7 linked regions of the Coturnix japonica genome follow. The protein of the gene in region 4 interacts with the protein of the main gene of each other region in a pairwise test. Links are inferred from orthologs where the notes say so. Each region holds a gene or a part of one and is shown on either strand. Other genes may lie near its edges. The genes, in order: AKT1, SUV39H2, STK4, RASSF1, STK3, LATS2 and MAP2K3.

The links.
Region 1: the proteins of RASSF1 (region 4) and AKT1 interact in a protein complementation assay, tested with the Homo sapiens proteins (2 studies listed by BioGRID and IntAct, with this or other methods). The link is inferred for Coturnix japonica from reciprocal best matches to the Homo sapiens genes RASSF1 and AKT1.
Region 2: the proteins of RASSF1 (region 4) and SUV39H2 interact in a two-hybrid assay, tested with the Homo sapiens proteins (2 studies listed by BioGRID and IntAct). The link is inferred for Coturnix japonica from reciprocal best matches to the Homo sapiens genes RASSF1 and SUV39H2.
Region 3: the proteins of RASSF1 (region 4) and STK4 interact in binary tests that used the Homo sapiens proteins (3 or more experiments, as listed by UniProt). The link is inferred for Coturnix japonica from reciprocal best matches to the Homo sapiens genes RASSF1 and STK4.
Region 5: the proteins of RASSF1 (region 4) and STK3 interact in binary tests that used the Homo sapiens proteins (3 or more experiments, as listed by UniProt). The link is inferred for Coturnix japonica from reciprocal best matches to the Homo sapiens genes RASSF1 and STK3.
Region 6: the proteins of RASSF1 (region 4) and LATS2 come close enough for resonance energy transfer, tested with the Homo sapiens proteins (2 studies listed by BioGRID). The link is inferred for Coturnix japonica from reciprocal best matches to the Homo sapiens genes RASSF1 and LATS2.
Region 7: the proteins of RASSF1 (region 4) and MAP2K3 come close enough for resonance energy transfer, tested with the Homo sapiens proteins (2 studies listed by BioGRID). The link is inferred for Coturnix japonica from reciprocal best matches to the Homo sapiens genes RASSF1 and MAP2K3.

What each region holds. Positions count from the first base shown.
Region 1 is NC_029520.1:46,930,118-46,933,617, forward strand, and holds part of AKT1 (RAC-alpha serine/threonine-protein kinase), read right to left. Parts: intron 2,660-3,500; coding exon 2,445-2,659; intron 1-2,444. UniProt on the Homo sapiens protein: AKT1 is one of 3 closely related serine/threonine-protein kinases (AKT1, AKT2 and AKT3) called the AKT kinase, and which regulate many processes including metabolism, proliferation, cell survival, growth and angiogenesis.
Region 2 is NC_029516.1:6,623,582-6,627,567, reverse strand, and holds the start of SUV39H2 (histone-lysine N-methyltransferase SUV39H2), read right to left. Parts: upstream 2,801-3,986; 5' UTR 2,695-2,800; coding exon 2,676-2,694; intron 2,347-2,675; coding exon 2,201-2,346; intron 1,629-2,200; coding exon 957-1,628; intron 1-956. UniProt on the Homo sapiens protein: Histone methyltransferase that specifically trimethylates 'Lys-9' of histone H3 using monomethylated H3 'Lys-9' as substrate.
Region 3 is NC_029535.1:4,579,260-4,582,759, reverse strand, and holds part of STK4 (serine/threonine-protein kinase 4), read left to right. Parts: intron 1-679; coding exon 680-794; intron 795-1,330; coding exon 1,331-1,495; intron 1,496-1,859; coding exon 1,860-2,027; intron 2,028-2,566; coding exon 2,567-2,704; intron 2,705-3,167; coding exon 3,168-3,296; intron 3,297-3,500. UniProt on the Homo sapiens protein: Stress-activated, pro-apoptotic kinase which, following caspase-cleavage, enters the nucleus and induces chromatin condensation followed by internucleosomal DNA fragmentation.
Region 4 is NC_029527.1:644,760-648,849, forward strand, and holds the start of RASSF1 (ras association domain-containing protein 1), read right to left. Parts: upstream 2,801-4,090; 5' UTR 2,699-2,800; coding exon 2,452-2,698; intron 1,541-2,451; coding exon 1,419-1,540; intron 720-1,418; exon of another isoform or gene 612-719; intron 66-611; coding exon 1-65. Other genes in the region: ZMYND10 (zinc finger MYND domain-containing protein 10), read right to left, coding at 3,902-3,986. UniProt on the Homo sapiens protein: Potential tumor suppressor. Required for death receptor-dependent apoptosis. Mediates activation of STK3/MST2 and STK4/MST1 during Fas-induced apoptosis by preventing their dephosphorylation.
Region 5 is NC_029517.1:115,667,934-115,671,433, forward strand, and holds part of STK3 (serine/threonine-protein kinase 3), read right to left. Parts: intron 118-3,500; coding exon 1-117. UniProt on the Homo sapiens protein: Stress-activated, pro-apoptotic kinase which, following caspase-cleavage, enters the nucleus and induces chromatin condensation followed by internucleosomal DNA fragmentation.
Region 6 is NC_029516.1:159,847,422-159,850,921, forward strand, and holds part of LATS2 (serine/threonine-protein kinase LATS2), read left to right. Parts: coding exon 1-1,288; intron 1,289-3,500. UniProt on the Homo sapiens protein: Negative regulator of YAP1 in the Hippo signaling pathway that plays a pivotal role in organ size control and tumor suppression by restricting proliferation and promoting apoptosis.
Region 7 is NC_029529.1:4,536,324-4,538,596, forward strand, and holds part of MAP2K3 (dual specificity mitogen-activated protein kinase kinase 3), read right to left. Parts: intron 1,722-2,273; coding exon 1,582-1,721; intron 914-1,581; coding exon 868-913; intron 578-867; coding exon 494-577; 3' UTR 1-493. UniProt on the Homo sapiens protein: Dual specificity kinase. Is activated by cytokines and environmental stress in vivo. Catalyzes the concomitant phosphorylation of a threonine and a tyrosine residue in the MAP kinase p38.

The sequences.
Region 1 (3,500 bases), on a different chromosome or scaffold from region 4:
TTTCTCTTACAAAATGGATTTTATATGACCAAATTTAGAAAACAGCTATTATTAAAAGCAGAATGCAATTTACTGTTCTTCATATTTTCCCCATATGCCTGGGAGTTGCTATTACCAAAAGCAGAACGCTAACACTGCTCCTCTATTTCCAGCTCACGTACAACAGGTAATTTGTAAGATTTAATTCACCAACTCCGGTCACAATTCATTACCAACTTACAGTGAGTTTCATTATTTCAACTTTTTTGGGGGTTGAGGTGAGAGGGATTTTACTGGAAAGGAGAATACGTCCCTGTTTCATTTTCCTTTTGCTCATCTCTGTCCCACTCTCAAGCCCACTAGCAGTAACTAAATGCAAGTGATGATGCTTTCTGCCACAGACCCTACAATGAAGCCAACTTTGCCAACCACTGGGCTTTGCTAAGGAGGGGATTTCTGTTGAATTACACGAATTCCCCCAAACATCATTGATAGGCTAATGTGGAATGGACTGCTGGGCATGACGTAATTTCAACTGACTGTACTTTGAGGCTATCTGGGTGTTTTCCTTTAACGTGGCTGAATGACCTCATAATGAGTCAATCACCACATCTGTCAGGCGCCCACCCCAACACAGACCACACCGTGTGAACAGCTGACAGTAAAACCCATAACAAGGGCAGGGCAGGACTCAGGACTGCCACCTCCCAGTGCCCCCAGCTCACCTCTCCCTGCTGCCTGAAACGCCACCCAGTGCACTGCATTGCAGAATCCCAACTGCAATTCAAAAGCTGAATGTACAGTGATTGGGGAGAAACCAGTATTTAAGAATGGTCCACGATCCAAAAAGCTTGGGGAGGCACGGTGTAATTAGCAAGGTGCAGGCTTCTCTACTCTATAGTTATTTCTATCAGCAGCAGGAAAATCATCTGTCCAACACATCAGAGCATCAGTGGTTCCAAGCCTGCTGAAGATACATGTGAAGAAGTGGCTATTTGTATAAAATGAGCATGCTGTGGAGTAATTATTGGCATTGGAGAAACCTTGCAATCAGAAACAAGTGGGCGTTCTTTGTTTGTAAACAAACTGTATTTTGGTTCATCAGAGATGCTCCTTTAAGAACAAATTACAGCAGATGCTACTTGTGTTTCCAGAGATTGAAAGGCACCACCTGAATAAGCTACAAGAGGGTCACAACTGTATTTAACCCAGGGCTTTTCTAGACAGGAATCCCGTTGGCAGGGGCTGCAGCCACATTTGCTGTGTGGAGTACCCAGGGGGTTGCTAATCCATCACACAATTGAAAGCAGTGATGGAAGCAGTCCACTCCTGTGACAAAAATCCCTGCTCCAAGAAATCCAATACTGGCAAAAACCATTTTCACGTTAAGTGTGTGTGTACGCACCAACTAAACAAACATCACAAAAACTGGGATACTTGTTACCTACACCTCATGTGAAAGGTTTCCTAGCTTGAGTTCTTTTATGGTGGGAAGGTTCAGAGTCACTATCTTCGTTTGTTTAAAAAGTGTCTGGGCTGACAAGATAGCAGGTTTTCAGACTGATGTTTACCCTTAGTGCAAAGGTCAACATCCTTTTTGGATCCTGTTCTATTTTTTGTTACATTTTGTTTGTTAGCCATTAAGGATTTGAGGTTTTCTTTTTTTTGCTGACGTTGTTTTTGTTTGGTATTAAGACAGAGGTTACTTTTTCAAAACAAAAGGAGGAAATGGGAAAAGTAGATTAAAGCACAGTATGAATTCCACCATAAACATGGTACTAACACCACCACCTGCTGTCCAAAGCAGGATGACAGATCACTGGCACTGACTGAACAGAAAATTCAGAAAGCTTACTGTAAGCAGCCCAAACTTGGATAGATGGTAAAAGAATTACTGCAGAGCAGCTGATAACTCACAGCAACGATCAGATTAATTATGACCAAAAGCAAGGTTAACTTGCTTTGTCCCAGGCCATAGTTGGCAGCCACCATATTCTGAAGGTCAAGCTTCTGATCAACAAAACTGCTTCACGTTGCCACCTGCAAGCCAGCTTGAGTCAAAAGTTAAGCTGAAACCAAATAGGTCTGTGCGCTACATCCCTCAGCTCTACTTGGTGGATGATAATTTTGTGCCAGTTAAAAACAAATCCAGAATTTCATCCAAAATGCCTTCCTCATTTTGAAATACAGAAATACTGGCATGAGTGCATTCAGTATCCCCTTGGGCAGAATCCTCTTCAATTGCTTCTCAATGGTGGAGATATGGATCATTTAAATGGCAGCACAGGAAGAGCCACTTAAAGTCACTTGCCTAAAAAAACAGCTCCCTTTCACAGACATACCTCTATGTAGCAAAGTTATTAACTTTTCTTGTGAAGGCCTTAAAATACATTTTTCCTTGACTTATTATGCTACTTCTGAGTGCACAAGTGTTTAAAAACACAAATATTAAGAAACAGTCTCACCTCTGCTTAGGATCTTTCTTCAGCAAGCCTGACAAGAGAGATTTTGCTTCAGGTGACAAAGTGCGTGGAAATCTAATCTCTTCCATAAGGATGAGTTCAAAGAGCTTTTCATGGTCCTGATTGTAGAAAGGGAGCCGGCCACACATCATTTCATACATTACAACTCCTAATCCCCACCAGTCCACTGCACGACCATAGTCATTATCTTCCAGCACCTGTACAGGGGTAAGGAGAAGGCTTTAGAAGGCATTCCTACATTGGGAATGAACTCAAGAGGCAAAATTAACACCAGCAAATTTCATGTTCTCGCATTACACAGCTGAATCTATTAGCACAGAGTGTTTTCAGAAGATCCTCCTTGAAAACAAAGGTCAAAGGAGACAAAGGAGAGCACTGTAGATGAGCAAGATGGGGAAGAGAAGAAAGTGTGCACGTTATGTCAACTTTCCTCTTCTCTTCCTTCTTCCACCCTCCCCCCTCTCATTACATCCATGGTAAGTAAGCAGAACCTTTGAAAGCCCAAAGGCTGAGGACTGTTCTCACATTACAGAGCCAGCTGCTGAATTTTCACTTATTCATCACAAACTGTTCCAAGTGGGATCTCATTAAAACATATATATACATATATATATATATATGTGTGTGTGTGTGTGTGTGTGTGTGTGTGTTTTTGTTTTTTTTTTTAAATGAGATCCCATTTAGAACAGTATGTATATACACACACACACACATCATCAAGGAGCCACTTTGGGAAGAGGTGAAAAGCCCATCGGTCTGTTACTTCACAGGCAACAAACTGAACATCACAATCATCCCTGTATTAACCTGCTCCTACTCAAAGGGCTACTCTGCACATCACAAAAGACCACCCACACACACACACCAAATGACTAACCCACATTCAGCCCTATGAGCCAGAACTCCCCTCCTAACACCTGACCCACTGCAAGGCTGTAAAATGGCAGCCAATATGAAATACTTCCCTTCCTCCCTCCTGTGGGACTTGCACACTGGCTGCAATACTGAAGGCCCTCACATCAGGGGTAAGCTTCTTCC
Region 2 (3,986 bases), on a different chromosome or scaffold from region 4:
TCCAGAGGATCCCCAAAGGAACAGAAGAACTACAGCAATGTTCAATAGAAGCCACAGCTTTAAATACTCTGTCTGCAGCCCACTGCATTCAATGTATTCCATGGTGCACAACCAGCAAAGGAATTACCATTTGGCAGCAGCACTGATACAAAAAGTAACAGAGTTCGAAGTAACAGAATTTTTCTGCCAGGCCACATCTTTGCTTTAAGCAACAAAGTTCTGCAATCACACGAGCCTCCTGCATGTTTGTAGGAATCAATTCCAAGGGTACAAACCCGATGAGTTAGAAGATCTGGGGCAGGAAGCATGGAGATAAGACAGTCAAGACCATAAACATTTGTAGCAGGGACAGAATGAGTTCTTTTTGAGTCATCGTATTAGCAAAGCAGATACGCAACAGGATCAGAGAGGCTGCCAAGAGCAGCTGATGCAAAGGGCCGTGAAGCAGAACAGAGGCTGAAGCAGGTAACACAAAGTAAGATCAGATCTCAAGAGGAAATCAGACTCTGTATTTTACAGCATTCAAGTTCTGTTCTGAAATAGCTCGAGACAGGCTACGCGGACAGAACAGAAACAGGACTGACTGGGTGCAGAGTTTGGTAATAGTTGTGCCTGGGGAACAGAAAGAACTACAATAAAGATATGGAAAAAAACCCCAAGGAATACAACTGCCAAAAAAGAAAAGGAGGATCCATTTTTAGAGATGCTAGAATTTTGAAATAATTATCAAAAATACTTATTTACTGACACAAAAGATGTGTTCTCTTCATATCCAGCCTCTGGAATGGAGGATGTTTTGGATAATATAATCTTACTGCCAGCTCAAACGTCTATTCAGTATATTCTTCTACTCAAAAGTAGAGCTGAAGTCAGGAAGTGATGGAACTGAGAGAAAGCTCATTATGTTTTTCACCTGCATTCTCCTTCAAAATAATCCATATGAGATAAACACATACCTCTCCAACATACTCCATCACAAAACTGTTGGTATTAATTTTCTGGAGGGTTTTCACTCCCCAACCTCGGCCGTTGTTAGTTCTGAAGATGCAAAGAGAATACTGGGTACCTTTCTGTACTATTCTATTAGGGCAGTCAGGGCCACACCTGCAAAATGAATTGCATTCATAGATGGGCAAGCCAGGCTGGATTTTCAGCTTCCTTCGTTTATTGTAAGCCAAAATAAAACCAGCTTCCTTTGGACAGCACTTCTCAGCAGGGCAGTCTGAGCATTCACAGCCAGTTGTTATTCCATTTATTACATTTATTCCCGGAGCAGGTTTATACTCATTAATGTAATAGAAGTCTATAGGAGGACCTTCAAGATCCACAGTGTTTTCTACCAGAATCATTCCTCTATGATTCTTTTTCCTGTTGAGTTCTTCTTTCCATCTCTGCAGAGCTATTCTTTGTTTAGCCTTCTTTACAATGTAATCTGCAACGGCAGGTTTCAAAGCTTTAACACTGTTTCTCACTTTCAGGGCTCTGCCTCCTTTCATCCGAGATAAATATTCATCCTTGTCACTAAGAAAGTTTTCAAGAAGTTTTGGGCATTTCAGATTTTTCTGAGGTTCCCAAGTATTTGAAGACTCTGGCCATCCTTTCCATTTCACAAGATAGTATTCTTTGCCCTTGAAATACAGAAACAGATAACAGGATTTAGCCACCATTCGATCTACCAAAAGACAACGTGACACAGTGCTAGAGTTAACAGAGTGTGGTACAGAAAGGATGCCACGTAACAATTAGAACTGGGAGAAAAGGAAAAATCAACTCAATCAGGTCAAATCCTGATGCTGAATTTCAATGGCGAGACCAAGCCATAGGAATCCAGCTGCAGCACACAGCCCTAACTTTTCAGTCAACAACACTGCACATATATGCAGCTGCAAACAGAGAAGCATCAGAATACAAGTTACAACCTACAAGCGTCAAGTGTTTTGCTTTACTTCTGGATATCGGGTGAAACATTTTATAACCCCAAACTGCCATAATTTCAGGGAAAACAAGGCACACTTCAGCACACCGAACGTGCTTAACTACGCCACTTTCTGTTTGCAAAGTTCAGAAGGTATTTTCTTCAGTGTCATCAACAGCCTCGTACTGGCAGCCTGCTGCTTTTACATCATAAGCACAGCTACCTCGGTCTGCCTTCCAAATTTCAGCTGAAAGAGCAATCAGGTTCGGTCTGTGTTTCTCTTACCTCTTCTACCTTGTAGTCACACAAATATTCCACCTCATAAGTCTTTAGACTCTTGTTGGTGATTCCAATGGATTTACATATCAGATTTTCCTTCCTACATAATTCTTGGAGGGTCTCACGTGAAGCCAGACATGGCACATACCAAGCTACAATAAGAAAATCGGGTAAAGAATCCTATTTAATGTCTCGGCTCGATGGAAACCATCATTGGGGTTCGCTTCACCCCAAATTCCCCCACGTTCCCCCCCCGCCCCCCATCCCAATCCCGCCTCAGGGAGCGCGCGAGGCCCCGGGCCGTCCCCCCTCAGCTCAGCGCCACACGCGGGCGGCCGGAACGATCCCGCGGAGCTCCGCGTTGTCTCCCACCGCCTCCCTTCGCGCTCCCACTCGGCCCGCCCTGCACAAGGAGAAGGGAGAGGAGATCGGCTCCGTCCCCATCCCGTTTCTCGGCCCGAATCGCCGCCGCCGCCCTCACCTCCTCGCCAGCCCTCCATCTTGGAGGGGCCGCGCAGGGCCGCAGGCGGCGGCAGAGGGAGGGGAGGGGGAAGGGCGGCGCTATGGGAACGGCCGCCTACCGGCGCCCGCGCGCCTGATCCTCACAGGGCGGCGGGGCGGTTCCACGTCGGTTCTGCTTCCAGGCTTTTTTCCTCGACCCGCCGTGAGCCAGCAGTGTGCCCTTGTAGCCAACAAAGCCAATGGAATACTGGGGTGTATTAAAAAGAGCGTGTCCAGCAGGTCAAAGGAGGTGATCCTCCCCCTCTGCCTTATCTGGAATATTGTGTCCAGTTCTGGGCTCCCCAGTACAAAAATGACAGGGATCTCTTGGAAAGAGTCCAGCAGAGGGTCACTAAGATTGTGAAGGGCCTGGAGCATCTCCCCTATGAAGAAAGGCTAAGTGAACTGGGTCTGTTTAGCCTTGAGAAAAGAAGGCTGAGAGGGGACTTGATCCAGGTTTATAAATACCTGAGGTGTGGGGGCCATAGCGGTGAGTCTGGTCTCTTTTCAGTATTGCGTGGGGATAGGACTAGGGGTAATGGGATGAAACTAAAGCATAGGAAGTTCCGCACGAATGTGCGGAAGAACTTCTTTACAGTGAGGGTGACGGAGCGCTGGAACAGGCTGCCCAGGGAGGTGGTGGAGTCTCCTTCTCTGGAGATATTCAAGACCCACCTGCACACCGACCTGTGTGACATGGTGTAGGGAGCCTGCTTTGGCAGGGGGGTTGGACTCGATGATCTCTAGAGATCCCTTCCAACCCCTACAATTCTGTGATACCTTCACGTTTTCAGATTGTTTTCTGGTTGTAAGCCAAACAACGAAAAACCCGTGCTGCCACTCTTTCTTTACAGCACTCCTTCAGCAGCAACACAGGGGCAGGGGGACAAAAGGCCTCCAGGAGAACACACTGCCCTGTTACAGTTCACAGTCACAGGGAACGATTTCAGACGCTTTAAACACATAAAAGCATTCCCTCATCACGACACGCTTCTCAGAAGAGCTGCTCGCAGCTCAAAGTAGCTTTAAACCCAATCCAAAACCCCATAACCTCCCCCAAGTTGTACCATTAGGCACAATATAAACCCTTAGGGGGTTACATATAAGGTTACATACATATACATACTTAGGGGGTACAATATAAGCCCTTAGGGAACATTGGGCTACGAGCCTGTGCTCATCAGCCTGGTAGAAAGAGAAGAAAGGTGCAACAGTACTGGGATAAGGACAGCGCTTCCCTGACAGAACCAGGCTTTGGGTTTTCCCAAGACTCCTTTTAAAAGGCAGTAAC
Region 3 (3,500 bases), on a different chromosome or scaffold from region 4:
TCTGTTCTTTAGCATTGTCCTTGCTAAACCATACAGTTCTCTCTGTTAGCTTTTTTGCTTTACCTTTTCCAAAGGATAAGTGGTCATTCTGACTGTGCCATACTTCGTTGTTCACCCCTTGGGCAGCCCATTAGTTGACTATATGGGAAAGATGTAGGTTGTACTTAACATAAGTTGCATTTCTGAACTGATTAATAGAGTAAGAAGGTGAAGGTTCCTCATAATGACCACAGTAGCAGTTTTCCAGCTTTTGACCTTATTTAATCTTTCTCTTTGGTTTCAGACACTGCAGCAGCTTTACCAGGATCTGCCATGGTCTGTTTCTCATTCCATTGATGCCCTCCCTACTTGTTTGCCACAGTTCAGGGAGCAAAACCAGACTGAAAGCTAATTGCTCCTTTTCCGTTTCTGCAGGATTTACTTTCAGACGTTTTAGCCCCCTGAGCTGCCTTTGTGACAGGTCACAAGGACACCACTGCTAGGACAGGCCTGGAGGGCTGTGGTCACTCACTGTAGACTCAGGCTGGTGTGAAACACTTGGTCAGGGCTTCAGTGGCACTTCCATGCCTGAGTTTTTAGAACCTGCTTAGGGAGGCTGCAGTATTCTTTGCCTTTGCTTATTCAGTTGTGCTGCTCTCCAGTATTTGACCCTTTGTTCTTCTTTTTTCACGTTTCATAGCCCTCATGTGGTGAAATATTACGGCAGCTACTTTAAGAACACAGACCTGTGGATCGTCATGGAATACTGCGGCGCTGGATCCGTGTCTGATATTATTCGGTTACGAAATAAAACTGTACGTAGTCTCCTCTGAATGCTGGGAATGGGGAGCAGGAGTGGTAGCTCAGGAAACTAAGTGGCATGTGCAGTGCTTTGGGTATAATTCTCATAGGTGTTTAACATCTAAAACAATCATGGGCCACCACTGCAATGTGGGTCCTTTGTTCCCCTGAAGATATGGAGGCTCGTTATGTTGATCAAGTTTGGGTTGTTTGGTTAATGCAATCAGTTTGCATGGTTTTGATACGGTGTTTGGTTGGCTTTCCTGAAAACCCAGATGGATTCAGAATTGACAGACTGCTTTGCCTTGCTCTGGCTTTGCAGGGTAAGAATTAGTAGGTGTGAAAGGCTGTGGTGCGGATGTGTAAGGATGCTGATCGAAAGCTAATTCTCATATGTAAGGCTGCTACCTTGGAGTATGTGTACTTCCCTATTAGTATGGCAACCTTTAATGAAAGCAATTAAATAACTATATCTCAGGGAGGTATAAACTGCGACACCACTGTGTGCCATCTCGGAAACCGAGAGGTTGAGAGTAACACTTCTTTTTAGCTTACAGAGGAGGAAATTGCTACGATAGTACAATCAACACTGAAAGGACTGGAATACTTGCATTTTATGAGGAAAATACATAGAGATATCAAAGCTGGAAATATATTGCTAAATACAGAGGGACATGCTAAGCTTGCAGATTTTGGAGTGGCAGGACAACTCACAGTAAGTAAAACCAAGATGATTATGTGCACTTCAGTTCTTCTTTCTAACGTACACATAAGCATCATGTGCTTGTGGAGACCTTGAGACATTCAGAAGTGTTTTTAGCACTTTACATCAACATAATGAGACACTAAAGCAGCAGCAAAGCTTCCTCTGTGGGAGCTGTTAGGCCTAAGTAATGGTTTGTAATAATGTATGCTGTTTGCTTCAGTTCATGTCTGACATCTGCGAGCATATTTCAGTTTCTCTCTGCAGCTTTCCATATCTTTATCTTGCTTAATCTGGTAATATATGTGTGTGCAGGTGGAAGATAATTAGGATTGTAAATGTGTGCTCTGGATCTTTATCCTGCTCTTCTTTTCAGGATACCATGGCAAAGAGGAACACAGTTATAGGAACTCCATTTTGGATGGCTCCAGAAGTGATTCAAGAGATTGGATATAATTGTGTTGCAGACATCTGGTCGCTGGGAATCACTGCAATAGAAATGGCTGAAGGCAAACCACCATATGCAGATATTCATCCTATGAGGGTGAGGGCTGTGACTTTAAAATGCATTGCGATGCAAAAGTGATTTGCTATTACAGCTGGGTGAGTGATGCATCAAGATGCCATCTTGTTTATAATTTAGAGGATATGATTTGCTTTCTGTCAGTTTGTTGTGCTGTTGATTAAATGAAAGATGGAGGAGGAAAATCATGATCCTCATCTATCAAGGCACAGCTGAAACTTCTGCTGTTGAGTGTGAATACAGATACTTTATGCTGTGGATCATACAAAATGATTCTTTATCTTGCAAGCAACCACATATTTTTATGACTTTAAAATGGCAGATTCACACCTCTTGGTGCAGATAATGGCTCAGACAGACGTGTAGGCTTCTAGTGAGAACAGCCTGATTTGTTGTTCCATCCTCTGAGCAGCTTAATGTATAAAATATTGGTACAAACTCTTCAGAAGCAGCAAACTTGAACCATGTATCATTCTTTAGTGCCTGTGGATGTTTTGATTCATTTTTGTTAGGAGGTTTTAAACTCTGTTTGGAAACCTGGAATATTCTTCTCTTTTTAGGCAATCTTCATGATTCCTACCAACCCACCCCCAACGTTTCGGAAACCAGAGCTCTGGTCAGATGCTTTCACGGACTTTGTGAAGCAGTGTCTGGTCAAGAGCCCCGAGCAGCGTGCTACTGCAACACAGCTCCTGCAGGTCTGCCTTGTCTTGGGAGAATGGGAATGTTAGAGAAGGCTTGCTGTAGTGTAGGCAGTGCTGCGCCTATTTGGCTGATGTAAAAACCCTGTACCCAACTTCAACCTTTCAGTTCTTCCTTAAGATCTAGTCTGAATCCTGTCTTTGTGGATGCTTTTGTTTGTTGGTGTTGTTTTTTTTTAACCTTCAGATTCTCACCAGCAATGCCAAGTAACTGGCTCTTAACCCACCAGAAAGGAACTAGATGAACTTTAAGGTCCCCTCCAACCCAAGCTATTCTGTGATTCTAAGTAACTGCTCAGAATGGTGCATGCATTTGTAGTTGGTTGTCGACAATTGAGCTGGTGAGGAATAAGTAGTGCTTGTGTGTGGGGAATGAGCCCCAGTAACCCCATGGTAATGATGTTCTACTGCTCTGTGTTAGTTCAAGTGCAGTGCTTACTAACTTTAACATACCACACAGCATCCATTTGTTAAGAGTGCCAAAGGAGCATCAATCCTGCGCGATTTGATTAACGAAGCGATGGATATAAAACTGAAACGCCAAGAGGCACAGCAGCGTGAACTGGATCAAGAAGATGAAGAAAATTCAGTGAGTATTTAATAGCTACAGTATACAGAGCTCAGCCTCTTGGACCTCGCATAATGCTAAGCTGCTTTGTTCCTTATTTTTATAATGTATTGTTCAGCTGCCCATGGGTTTTATATGATTCTTGAGTTTTGTACTTAGGGCTGCTTAACTTGATGTTTGAGCTCTGCTCAACCTTTATGTTTGAATGGGGCAGTCAGCAAATAT
Region 4 (4,090 bases):
TCCTTGATGCGCTGCTCCACCTGCGCCGGGTCCAGCTCCGCCGTCTCCCAGCTGCTGGGCTCATCCTGCGGGGTGGATGCCGTGCTGAGCACAGGGTCGCATCGCACCACGGCCTCGTGCCTGTCCCCAACGCCGGGATGGCCACCCCATGGCCGTGAAGGTGGGGTGACGGATGGCGATGCCAACCCACGTTCCTCCCAGCCGGGACAGCCCGGGGTGTCCCCTCCCAGCGCTCCAGATCACAGCGGTGTCCCCGAGGCAGCCGCCAGCCCGGCACCGGGGTAGGCTGGGTGCCCCATGGGGATGCCCGAGGCTTCGGGGCAGCCCGCCCGTGTCTGTTAATGACTATTTACATAGGTCCGCACAGCCGCACGTGTCCTCACGGTGCTGTGGGGCCGGGAGCGGCCGGGGCTGCCGGACCTGCGTGGGGATGGGGGCAGCTCGCTCCCAGCAAAGCACGCTTTCCCCCCCCGCTCCCCCCAGTAACAAGCCGCGCTCGCTCCCACGCGTGTCCCCGTGCAAAGTGCCCCCGAACTCCTCCCACCCAAAAAACGCCCCGTGCCCCCCGCATGACGTCAGCCCCACGACGTCACGGCCGGCCCGGGACCGACCTGGCGGCGACGCGGGCGGCGGCCGAAGGAGGTGCGGGCGGTGTAGAAGAGCTCGGGCTCGGAGTCGGAGTCCTCCTGGCTGCAGTAGCCGCTGCTGGCCGCGCTGCCCCCCGAGCCCCCCGCGCCGCCCCAGCGCAGCGCCAGCCCCGCCGCCCCGCAGCCGCCGGACCCCGCCCCGCCGCCGCCGCCCTCTACCCCGGCCACGGCTGCGGCAGCCCCGGCCCGGGCACAGGGGCACGCCCGGCCCCGCGCCAGCCCGCCCGCTCCGGCCCGGCTCCGCACGGCCCGCTTCGCCCGGTTCGGCTCGGCTCGGTTCAGCGCCGCTCCTCGGCTCGGGTCCCGGCTCGATTCAGTCCCGCTTCCCGGTCCCGGTTTCAGTCTCGGCTCCGGTCCCGGTTTCGGTCCCGTTTCGGCCCGGTTCCTCGCTCAGTCCCACCCGGCTCCGTCTCTCCCGCTCTCCCGCTGCCCGGCCCGGCTCAGCCCGGCTCCGCCCCACCGCGGCCGTTGGCCTGACGCGGGCCGGGGGCGGTGCGGCCCCGTTTCCGGCGGTGATTTCACCCGGGCCACGCACCCTGCGGTCCCAGGGCTGCTGCGGGCACGACACGGCAGAGCTTGGCACGGCACGGCATGGCACAGCACCACATGGCACAGCACCGCATGGCACGGCATGGCGCAGCGTGCCGTAGCCTGGCATAGCACGGCCTCTCGTGGCACGGCTCGGCGCCCCTTGGCTTGGCACGGCCCAGCCTGGGCTGTCCCCGCTCCCTCCACGTCCGCCCCGCTCCCCCCATCCCCGCGGTCCCGTACCACATTCGTGTCCTTCTCCAGCTCCTGCTCGCTGCCATCGTCCTCGTCCCCGGTGCCTGGGGGGCCGCTGCAGTCCAGCCGCACCAGGGCCCGGCAGCGGTAGTGGCAGGTGAAGCTGCAGTCTGGGGCAGAGGACACAATGGGCACAACGGCCCCAGCAGACCCCACGCACCGGCCGTGCCACCTGCCCACATGCCCACGCTGTACCAGGGCACCCAGCGTGGCACCCGGCGCTGCTGGGCCGTACCGAGGTGCCCACGTCCCCTGCCTGGTCACACAGTGCGGGCACCCAGCAATGGGATGCCTGGTACCTGAGCAGGTGCTTGGTACCGGGATACCCGCAACAAGGGGGGTGGTACCGGGATGCTCAGTACTGGGTTGGTTGGTACTGGAATGCTCGGTACCGGGTTCTAAGGACCAGGATGCTCAGTACTTAGGATGCCCATGATCTACTTGGATGTTCAATACTGGGACTGCAGTGTCCATTTTGGGGTGCCCAGTGCCAGGTGGGAGTGCTCAGTACTGTGGAGCTCAGTGCCTGGATGCCTGGTACCCAGCGGGGGTGCCCTGGGCAGAGATGCTCAGCACTGGGCTGCTCAGTGCTTGTTTGGTACCGGGCGCCCACAGCCTGGCTGCTACCAGGATGGCCGGGGAGATGTCTGGTGGCAGGAGGCTCAGCCCGGGGACAGCTGGTACCTGAGAGGATGCTCCATATAGTTTGCCCAGGCTTTGTAGTATTAACCTGGTACAGGGATGCCCCATGCTCGGGGCAGTGGGGTCTGATACCAGGATACGTGATGCCTGGTGCCAGGGGAGGGATGCCCTGTACTCTGTGCTGGGATGCTCGGTGCCCGGGAAGATGCCCGGTACTGGGATGCCCAGTGCCCAGGGGAATGCTCGGTACCGGGATACCAGTCCCAGGGCAGCCACTGCCTGGGGGCTGCACGGTACCGGGATGCTCGGTACCGGGACACCCGGCGCTCATGGGGGATGCGCAGCGCCCGGGGGATGCTCGGCGGGGTGCGATACTCACGGCGGCACTGGAGGCTCTTCCTGCCGCCTCCCCAGACGAAATCCCCGCAGAGGTCGCACCAGGTGTGGAGCCCGCGGCGCCGGGGCTCGAAGCGATGCCCGGTGCTCGGTGCCGCCGGTCTGTGTTCGGGCCGCGCTCCGGGGCCGTGCCGACGGGCCGGGCTGATGCGCAGCGCGTTGGTTCGCTCCAGGCGGCCCCGGCCCGGCCGCGGCTCCGGCTGCAGCTCCCGCAGCTCGATCAGCTCCATGGCCCGGAGGGGGCCGGGAAAGGGGGCGGCCGCCCCGCGGGGGAAACTGAGGCAGAGCCCCGGCGAGGGCCGATGGAGCGGCGGCTCCGCTGGCTGCGTCCGGCGGGGCGGGAGGGAGGCGGGGACGGGGGAGGGTGTGTGGGGCGCTGGCCGGCCCCGTTCCCCGCAGCCCGGGGCGGCCCCGCTCCTCGCCTCAGTTTCTCCGCCGGGGGCTGCCCTGGAACGGCCGCGCTCAGCCCCGAGCTCAGGGCGGGGGCAGAGGGATCCCCCCCCTCCCACCTCCGCCCCACGGAAACGAGCACCGCGGGACCGGACGGCGGCGAACGGCCCCATCCTCAGAGCCGGCCCCACCACGAAATGCCAAGGAGGCAGCAGAGCCGAGCTCCAGCCCTCAAGCACTGCGGATGGGGGAGTCCTCCTGCCCCGAGCCCAAAGCTCCAGTGCCCCTGTGACCCCACCGGCATCTCCTCCCGGGTGCCCTGGGACGACACGGCAGCCGAGGGATCGACTCCTCAGTGCTAAGTCCCTTCAGCTGAAAGCAGGGACAAAAGCAACATTAAAATCACACCCAGGCCATTCGTTTCCCCCTATAGAAGTGCTCACAGCCCCGAGCTGCTGCAGCTCAATTTGGACATTGCTCACAGACATTAACGTTTGGGTGGTGTAGCATGAGGCCGGGCTTTGGAGCTGGTGATCCCAGCAGGTCCCTTCCAGCACAGGATATTCTATGGTTTCTCTCTGCATTCAGCAGCTGACAGACCCGAGCAGCACAGCTTGCTCAGCTCCACACTAACCACATCCTCTGATACCGCCCTGCTGCTCTCACAGTGGAGGTGATGCTGAGCCCTTCTCCTGATGCCTGGAGGAGCTCGATGTGAGTGAGCCCATGCCTCGGTGACAGCAGGCCGGGCCGTTTTGATCTCCATTTCCAAACTTTGTTCGCTCATTTTCAAGTTCTCCAGGCTTCCTGTTGCCTCATAGGGTAAAAAGCAACACACACAAACCTCTCGCTGGGTGCGAGGGAGGGGAGGAAGTGGTTTATTTCTTCAAAGAGGAGACAGGAGGGGGAGCTGAGCCCCCGCGGGGTGCAGCAGGAGCGGGGGTGTTGTGTGGGGGTGTTGTGTGGGGGGGACGGGGAGGCTGAGCCCCACGAGGCTGCGAACCTGCGGGCATCTCTCCAAGGACAATCAGCCCCTGCCCTGCTCACTGTGTGCCCGCAGTGCCCGGTGCCTGTGCCAGCAGGTCGCAGGCAGTGCGATGCTTCTGCCAGTGCTGGACCTGGCACGCCCTGCGGGGGGAGCCGCACGTCAGGGCTGTGTCTGCTCTGCGGAGCCCAGGGGGACGCGCCCACCCCCGGGGCGCTCCTCAAGCTGCCGTAAGGCTGAGAGCGGG
Region 5 (3,500 bases), on a different chromosome or scaffold from region 4:
AGCTCTTTGTTCAGGATTCTTCACTAAGCACTTCTTCACGAAATCTGTGAATTCATCAGACCAGAGCTCCGGCTTCCGAAAGGTTGGAGGGGGATTAGTAGGAATCATAAAAATAGCCTAGATAAAAAGCAAGAACAACAGAAAATTGAAACAAAGCACATCATCACAGTACCGAATTCAAGGAAATAAAGTGCTTTATCCACCTTTCTTATCAAGTTAAGAATCTGGAAGACAAATTTCAAGCAGGGTAGGATTTCCACTCAGACAGAGATTCAGGATGTAAATCCATCTGCTACTAATGTAGCTACTTCCCATTCTATTTTCTCTATTTAAACTGCATCTCATTGAGCACATCACCCTCTACGTTATCTATTACTGTTCATCAGTCTCAGGATATGATTTCTTTCAGAAATTCTCAGTAATGGTATTGCTTCTTCAAACAGATCCTGAAAAGTTTCTGTGAAAAGCACAGTTCACCTTCTCATCTCTTAGCTCCATTTAGTTTTATAGGAGAGCTGCTCAGAAGGGCTGGTGGGTCTATTACTTGCTGCTGCACGCTCTATTTGGCTGTAGTTTTTACCATTAGCACAGTATTAGTACCAGAAGCTTCAGACTGTGCTTGAAAAACAGAGAAAAAGGGAGAAAAAACTTCCAAAGATTTTATCCACAACTTCTTGAGAAGCTCGACTGCCCTCCAAAGCCTGTTTAACTTGTACAAAATCCTCATTCTAAATTTTTTTCATATGCTGAAGAGAAGCAGAAACCAGGCAGAACACTATAAGAACTCTGTAGTGCATTTTTAATGAAAAAATATTTCAGTATCAGATACTTCATTTTAAATCTAATATTTACAGAGCTTACTTTACTATCTAATGCTGTCTAATTCAAAAACTAGAGGATCAGAATATATCTTTTTTTTTTTTTTTTTAAATAAACTTTGGTGTATTTTACAGCAGCTTTATATTTTCAGTGGACAGCCTTGCCAAACTAACATGTGATCTCAGATTGGAGTAGTAGCTCTCTATTACCTTGTAATTGTCTTTAATTACTTACTTGCGATATAAAATTGTCAGTACAGGCGAAGTGCTTCTGGTAAAGGTGTGGCTAACAAATTCAGCTGCTCCTGTCCTTGAAAGTAATGACCTATCTGAACTCTGAACTGATGATTTTAATCTTATCTTTAGCTACTCTTAACAGCTAGCTCTGCAGTAGCTATTGAAAGCACACAGCCATAACAGAAAACCAGTAAGTTCTGTTTACATGGTATCAAAACATATACCTCCTATTTGACAATGAGCATTGACTTATGTCCCAGCACATAACCAAAGCTTAGCTCCGGAATTCTACCGAGCTCCAAAGTTCTGGAGAAATTATTTCCTTCTGCAAACTCTTTTGATCAACTACACAGCAGTGAAGAATCATAGCAAAGAACGGACATTTTTATAATTTACAAAGGACAATGAGAAGAAAGATGGAAACCATGAATCATTCTTTTACAGCAGACAATAAAAATTACAAAAGAAGATATTCTACAGCTACAGTCGAGATCCTAAAAACAAAGTCATGCTTTGTAAATTTGTTGGAAGTGACAACTTCAGAAATACATACATAAATACAAACACTACAGGTTTTTTTAGATCTTGGTATGTGACATGAGCTGTCATTATCTGAAAAGAATATATATATGGATTACACTACCATTTTTTTTAATGCAAGGCCATATTTAGTAACTAATTCCTTCTTCCAAATGTGCAGTCCAACTTGTGAATTATGTCACACACATTCTAGTGTGAACCTTTCTTTCCCATATGGAACAGGCTGTCCAGAGATGCTGTGGAGTCTCCTTCTCTGGAGATATCCAAAACCCACCTGGACACTTTCCTGTGCAACTTCCTGTAGAGAAACTGCTGTTGGACTGGACGATCTCCAGAAACCCCTTCCAGCCCCTACAATTCTGTGATCTCTCATCACTCCCTTCCGTTACTTAGCCTGAAATGCTGGAGGTTATATTCAAATCCATCTTGCCCCTTCACTACCTAATTTTGGCTTGCACTTTCCTATGCAAAATGTTAAGCTCCCTTTCACCTTCAAAGGAAGCCTATGATTTAACTTCCAGCTTCTTTTGTTTCCTTCCAAGAAACTTGCAAATCAACCACTGGAGAATTATAAACTTATTTCCAGATCACCAGGAATAAAACCAAAATTCTTATCTAACGGGAATTTATTCATCATTTTTTCTTCCATTTATTACCGAATACATCTTTTCTATCTCAACAGAACTCAGTCATTTTAAAATAAAACTAAGGCATTTCAATTACTGTTTTTCATGGCTGCCAAGATAGGACTTACTTACATTCTTCTTTCACCTTATGCTGTGTTTCCAACACCTATTAATGCCAATGGTTTTTGTTTGGTTTTATTTATTTTTGTTTAGAAAAAAAAACAACACACACACTACAAAGACAGTATTTGCAAACACTTAATGTATGCTACCACCCACCTAACTGCATGGGCTAAGCTGGCAGTGCCAACCAAAGGAAACATTCAGGGAAATGGTTCCACAGTCAAGGCTCTGGCCTACAAAGCAAGACACAGCGTTAATTCTTCTCTCTCACACCTTCAACATCACTTTCCACACTTCCCTGTGTATCTGAGACAGACTGGTACTCTCAGATCCAGCTGAGATGTTAGACTGAATGACTCCTAATCTTCAGTTTTAACTATTTAATCACTCTTTTATTCATAAATAAATGTCTAAGCTGGGAGATGTCAAAACTGAGGCCTGAGTGACCATGACAACTTAATCAGTGTTTATCTTTGCCTGCCTAACAGACAAACCATGCCCAATTTGTCCTAAACTGGCCTTTCCACATCTGAGCCTTGAGACCGACTCTGCTTTGCCTCACCTTTCACACAGTGCTCCGAGACAACTTCCACATCCCTGGGTGAAATCAGAAGCCACAGCAAACATGCTATCTACACAACTAAAGAATGGGGAGTGGCACTGAAGGTGTTATAGTAGAAATATAAACCACAAATTGCATCACCACGGGAAGCCTTCAGTAGCCATTTCTGAAGTGGACACTACACATACAGTCCAATAAATTCTACCATAACTGTTAACCAGTTTACTCTGAAAGGATATATCAGAACAATAACCAGCTGCTGTAGTCAAGCTCAATATTGAACAGAGGACCAAGCCTCAAACAAGAGCAAAATAGCAAGTCAACACAGAATTTGCTTTTTATGATGCTTAAAGGGACCAAAATTTTGGGTCCTATAATGAAGTTCTGGCTGCAATCATTTATTTCATGAAGATTCTCCCATCGACAATTTTTATTGGTGTGAAAATGTAATTAGATGAATTAGGAAATACCAAAAGAAAAATGATATCCTCATATACTGCATTTGGAATTTCCTAATCAGAAAGTCCTTGAGGCTCATTCCTCCTGTGAGTCAGGGTAATACCACAGCCCAAGAACACATTAAGTAATCAACAG
Region 6 (3,500 bases), on a different chromosome or scaffold from region 4:
CCATCAGCAGAAAACATACCCTGCAAGTATTGAATCTTCTGTGATTAATTATCCTGTGTCTAATCACAACAGCCCAGCCTTGCAGCTGCAGGCCTCCCATGGCTCCAGCAGCCAACATTACAGTAGGCAGCACATGATGGTGCAGGGGGAACCCATGGGGTATGGTGTTCAGCGGAGCCCATCCTTCCAAAACAAGATGCAGCAGGAGGGAGGCTACGCCAATCTCCCAAATAAAGGGGCAGTTGTTCAGAATAATGCTAGTCATGCATTTCAGCAGGCACCAGCAAGCCTGTATATGTCACATTCTCATCACAAACAGACAAGTCCTCCCTCCCATCAAATGCACGTGATATCTAGAGGTCCAGCATTTGGTAACGATTTTTCAGACAGCCCACCACAAAATCTATTAACTCCATCTAGAAATAGCCTAAACATGGACCTCTATGACATGAATAACCCTCAAGTTCAGCAGTGGCAGGCAGCAACGCCTTCACGGCGAGATTCTTTACAAAACCCAGGAATAGAATCATCTCCACGGCAACACGTGTCCTTCAGACCTGATGCCTCAGTGCCAAGCAGAACAAACTCCTTTAACAACCATCAGCAACAACCGCAAGTGACCGTGTCTATGAGACAGGTTCCTCCAGGAAAACCTGATCCTTCCATTGCATCTCCAAATACAATCACAGCGGTCACATCTGCTCATATTCTCCAGCCAGTGAAGAGCATGCGAGTGATGAGACCTGAGCCTCAGACTGCAGTGGGACCTTCCCATCCTGGTTGGTTACCTGCCCAGGCACCGGCCGTGGATGGCCTAGAGATCATTGAACAGCACGTGCCAGCTGTTGGAGCAGCCAACGCCTATCAACTAGATGTGGATTATGGTAACCAGGAGCTGCGGTGTCCACCACCACCGTATCCCAAGCACTTGTTAATTCCCGGCAGCTCTGAGCAGTTTGATATCAATTGCTTATGCATGGGTGTGGAGCAGACCCTGCGTGTAGTCCCCAGTTCAACGTGCAATAAGGCTGAGGAGAACAGTGAGAGAAATGACAAAAACAGCAAAAACACTAAAGCTGAAAAACCAGGCAAGGATAAAAAGCAGATCCAGACATCTCCGGTGCCTGTGAGAAAAAATGGCAAGGATGAGGAAAAGCGAGAATCCCGAATAAAGAGCTACTCACCATTTGCTTTCAAGTTCTATATGGAGCAACATGTAGAAAATGTCATAAAAACCTACCAGCAGAAAATCAACAGAAGATTACAATTGGAGCAAGAAATGGCTAAAGTAATTATTATTTTTTTTTAATATAATAAATAGGGTCAAATTAATTATTACTATCTTAAGTCACTCAAAAAAAGGTATAAAGGCGAGTTCTCTGGGAAGTGATAATAGCTGTTCAACGCCTCCCTTTACCAGACTGTTTTCACTTAGAGGCCTGGGTGCAGATCTGGGAGACTGTTTGAAAAAGCTGAGACAGGATGTAGTATGTCCTCATACAAGAAAGTAAAATAAAGCAGGGGCATCCACAGTAGGAAAGTATTACGTTTGCATAGGAAAGGACTCAGCAGCCAGGTCTGAGACCATGGTAATACTGACAATACTTTCCAGCCCTTGAAAAAATCTGAGAAAGGCTTTCTCTTTGCTCCAGTTCTTCCTGCCTATTACATGATAGCAGCTGCTTATTCACCAAAGCCACAGTTTAACTTGGCAGTAGATTTACTATGCTATATTTTCCCTTGAATATGTAATACCTGACTGAAAGTTGTCTCTTGAACATATGTTAGTAATAATACCATGCAAGTAATCATCTCTTGGCCAGCTGAAATGATCTTGGGATCCTTGCTGGGATTTGTTCTAGGCGCGGGTCTCAGTGAGGTGCACTTTGAGAGCTTCATTCACGTCTCGTAGTAGCGCTCAAACTGAGCTGACTCACTGATAGGGCTGTCTGAAGGCAAGCTGCCAAGTTCTGATGATTGCTCTGGCAGTTCTGTTTGTAATTTTTAAACATGGAAATTTTGTATTTTTTCTCCCTTCAGGTGCCATTAGCTAGAATATGACTAGTCTACTTTTGTGTTTAAGGATAAGCTTTAATGAAAGCTATCATTAATACATGATGGGTAATAACTTACCTGACCTTCCTTAGAACTGGTTAGGGTCAATTAATTTGATTCTCACATTGCTCTCCCTCTATGGAAATATTCAAGACCTGTCTGGTGCATATCTGTGCATCTGTTGTAGGGAGCCTGCTTTAGCAGGGGGGTTGGCCTCAGTGATCTCCTGGGGTCCTTTCCAACCCCTGTGATTCTGTGATTCTGCTCAAGAAAATCTGGTGGTTTGCTTGCCAAGGTTACATTTGATGCTTCTAAAAATCTCTTGAAAGGTCAATATAGTGGTGGTAGTTCATAGTTTGTCCTCAGTGCAACTATAGGTTGTGTTGCACTGCTTGGATTTAGTGAATATTTTCCTAAGACTGAGAAAGTTGGGGAGCAGTCTCTAAAGAAGTAAGAAAAGAAACTAATAGCATCAGTTCTGTTTTGGCCCTTCAGCTTTTGCTCACTTCATAACTCAAAGATAACTATAAACAAAAAACAGCTCCTTCCCCTAGCAACCTCATTTCTGGCTGGAATAACACACCACAAACTCAAGAGATTTTGGCCATCTGAATATCGCATTATTCTAGAATTAACCAAGAATACAACACAGTAATTGTTATGCGTTAAAGCAATAAACGCTTCCTTTAGTATGGATTGAGGTACCCTACCTGTTCTGCAAGTTTTTTCATCCTTAATTCACATGGATTTCATTTTTATGCTGTGGGGATCTTGCTGCTTATTCTGGCTGCCCACCTATCATCCTTAATGGCCTCGATTGCAGGTGTGAAATGAAAACTTCAGTCAAAGCAGCAGCCTTATGGGTGAATACTTAAGGGGTCTTTAGCCTGCTTCTCAGTCAGCTTCATCTCCATCCACCATTTCCCCCATTGCCTCTTCCCATCACTCACTCTTCCTCTCAAAATGCTTATTTTCACTTATTTCAGTTCAAGATAAATGTTATTCAAAAGGAGGGGGGTCTGCTGCAGACAGGGAATTCTGAGGATCCTGGAAATCAGCGCAGGGGCTTCTGCTGGTGAAGGCTGCTCGTGTTCTCAGACAGGCACTGAAGGCAGAATTGTGCAGGCTCTGTCTTGAAGCATGGGGGAAGTCCAGCTGGTTAATTCTCCCCCTTTCCAGGAGATGTTCCCCTTCAGACATGTGAAATGTTACTTTTAATTACCGTAAGACTCTATGGGGACAGAAGGTGTCTGGACAAGCCAGCTTTGTTACTGTTCAGGTTCAAAGGGAAAAAACATACATTTAAAAGAGAAATAGGATCTGGATCTTGGCTTCAGTGTATGGGAGGAGGCCAGAGCTGAGGGTTGTATACATATATTTTGGGAGGGAAGTTAGGGATCTGCCAAGTGTGAGAGTGGAGGTTCTGTACAACAGAGGAGGAAAAA
Region 7 (2,273 bases), on a different chromosome or scaffold from region 4:
ATCACACAGTGAAGGGGGTGCCAGGCCTGGGGCTGTGTGGAAGGGTCACCCAGATGCCATCAAGATGGCTTTGTGCAGGGACAGCAGAGTGCCCACAGAGCCCTGCAGCCTCCTGCAGTGCTGCTCAGGAACGTGAGGCAGGGAGCCAAGCAAAATGCTGGGGAAGGGGCTGGGGGCAGAAGCACAGCAGCATTTTCTCTTTGCCAACCTCAGGCAGCAAAGGGAAAGAAAGGCAGAAGTTCCCCCACACACGGTGCCGAGGTTGGACACTGTGGGCACCATCCCCCTCCCTGTGCCCCCAGCATTTGAAAGGGTGAAGGTGTTGGCTTCCAAGGCTCTTCCTCGAAGAATTCAGGCAAAGAGAAAAGAGACTGCGATGGGGGCTGTGCCCAGAGCTGTCCGGGGGCTGAGAAACACAAGTTGTGCAAACCACCACGAATTCAAGTCCACATCTGCTCCTCCGTGGGGACTGCATGGAACAGTGGGGCTCCAGTTAAGAGTCCTCCCCGAGGATCTCTGTCACAAAGGAGGCCATGTCAGTCTCTTTGGTGTCGTGTAGGGTGAAGAAGGGGTGCTCCTGTCAACAAGAAGCAAGGCATCAGTCATGGCCCAGCAGGGAGCAGTTCAAAAGCAGCCCCAGGAGTGTCACAGCACTGGCCAAGTGGGCACCAGCATCACCTACAGGCTGACCTTCCCCTTAACACCCACAAAACTCAATACACTGCTGTACCTTAGACACACTGTGCCCATCCCACCGTGTGCCTGGAAATCACCCCTGTGTCCTGCTGTACCATTTGGCCAGGCCCTTTTACCCCAACACATTTCACATACCAGATGAAGGCCAGCAGACACAGCCCCCAAACTTACCATAAGTTCTAAATAGTTCATTCGCTCAGCGGGGTTCTTCCTTAAACTGAAGGGAAAAAAAAAAAAGAAAGAAAAAAAGAGGCTGTAGGATCTTTCATTATACTTTTTCCCCCCCCCCCACATGTGGTCTATCTGAAGAGACCTCCCCCTTCCCCAACCACACCTCACTTTGGATGGGCAGCACCCACTCCCACTCCTCTCTGAGCTGAACCACGTGGCCCTGTAGCACACAGGCAGGGAACCACAAGGGCAGATTTGGGGTTATGCCAAACCCAGAAACACGCAGCCCTGCTGGGAAGGAGAGGAGGCAGCTTCCCATCACACCACCCATCCCAGGGCTTGGGGGCACCTCCAAGCAGGCCAGGAGCAGGGGGCACCCAAGGGGAGCAGCTCCTGCATGTGGAACCCACAAAACCACAAACCAGGTTCACCCAGAGGCACCTACATGCTGCCAGAGGGCTGTTCCACCACCACACTGCCAGAAACCACCAACACTTGAGCAGCGCCAATGGTAAAACGGGAAGAGAAACCTCAGTGCCTTCCAAGCAGCCTGAATGAGTCACACTGAGAGCAAAACCCCTTTGGGCAACAAAACCCAATCCTGCTGCAGCAGATACACCAGCTCGTTACAGCAAGGAGGGGAGAACCAGGCTCCAAAGCCAACCCCAGCCCTGCACTTTGCTCACACACCAGCCCAGTCTCTGCCACACTCACCACTGTGCCGTGAAGTCCACAAACTCCTTGGAGAAGCGCTCGGCAGGCAGCTGGGGTGAGGGCTCCTCCACCACCTGCTTCAGCTGCTGGAACGGGGTGCCCCAGGACTCGTAGGGGAAGCGCAGGATGGCCAACTCGATCTGGGGACAGGGACACTGTGAGACACTGGGGCTGCCCCACATCAGAGGCTGCACAAGTGTAGATTCAAGTTGAAAAGCCTCCCTCCTAACAAACCATTTTCAATTCGGGTCATACTGCCTTCTCCCCTACCCCCATTTTTGTAATACAAAGACCTTAAGGCAAAAAAAAACCAAAAACTTCCTTTTGAAGCCTGCTCAGCAAATTAATGCATTTACAGGAAGCAGACAAATCTATGTAAAACAGGGTTATTTAAAAAGATGTCAAAGCAGTGTTGATGCTACTTCTGCTCTGGCTTCTGGAGTGCTCATCTCACCATGACCTGCCCTCTGGGCTGCAGGCTGTATGAGCTAGGCACAAAGAGATCCATGAGCCCAAGAGGAAGTGAGCTTTAGAATACAACTTAAGATGATCTTTGCCAAACTGCTGCAGCTATTCCTGCTCCACCATTCATTCCAGCAGGAAAAAGCCCATAGCAGCTCTTGGGCCAAGAGATGGGATGTAAGAAATGAATAAAGCTAGGATCAGTCCTGCAGCTCAACAGCCCTAAACAG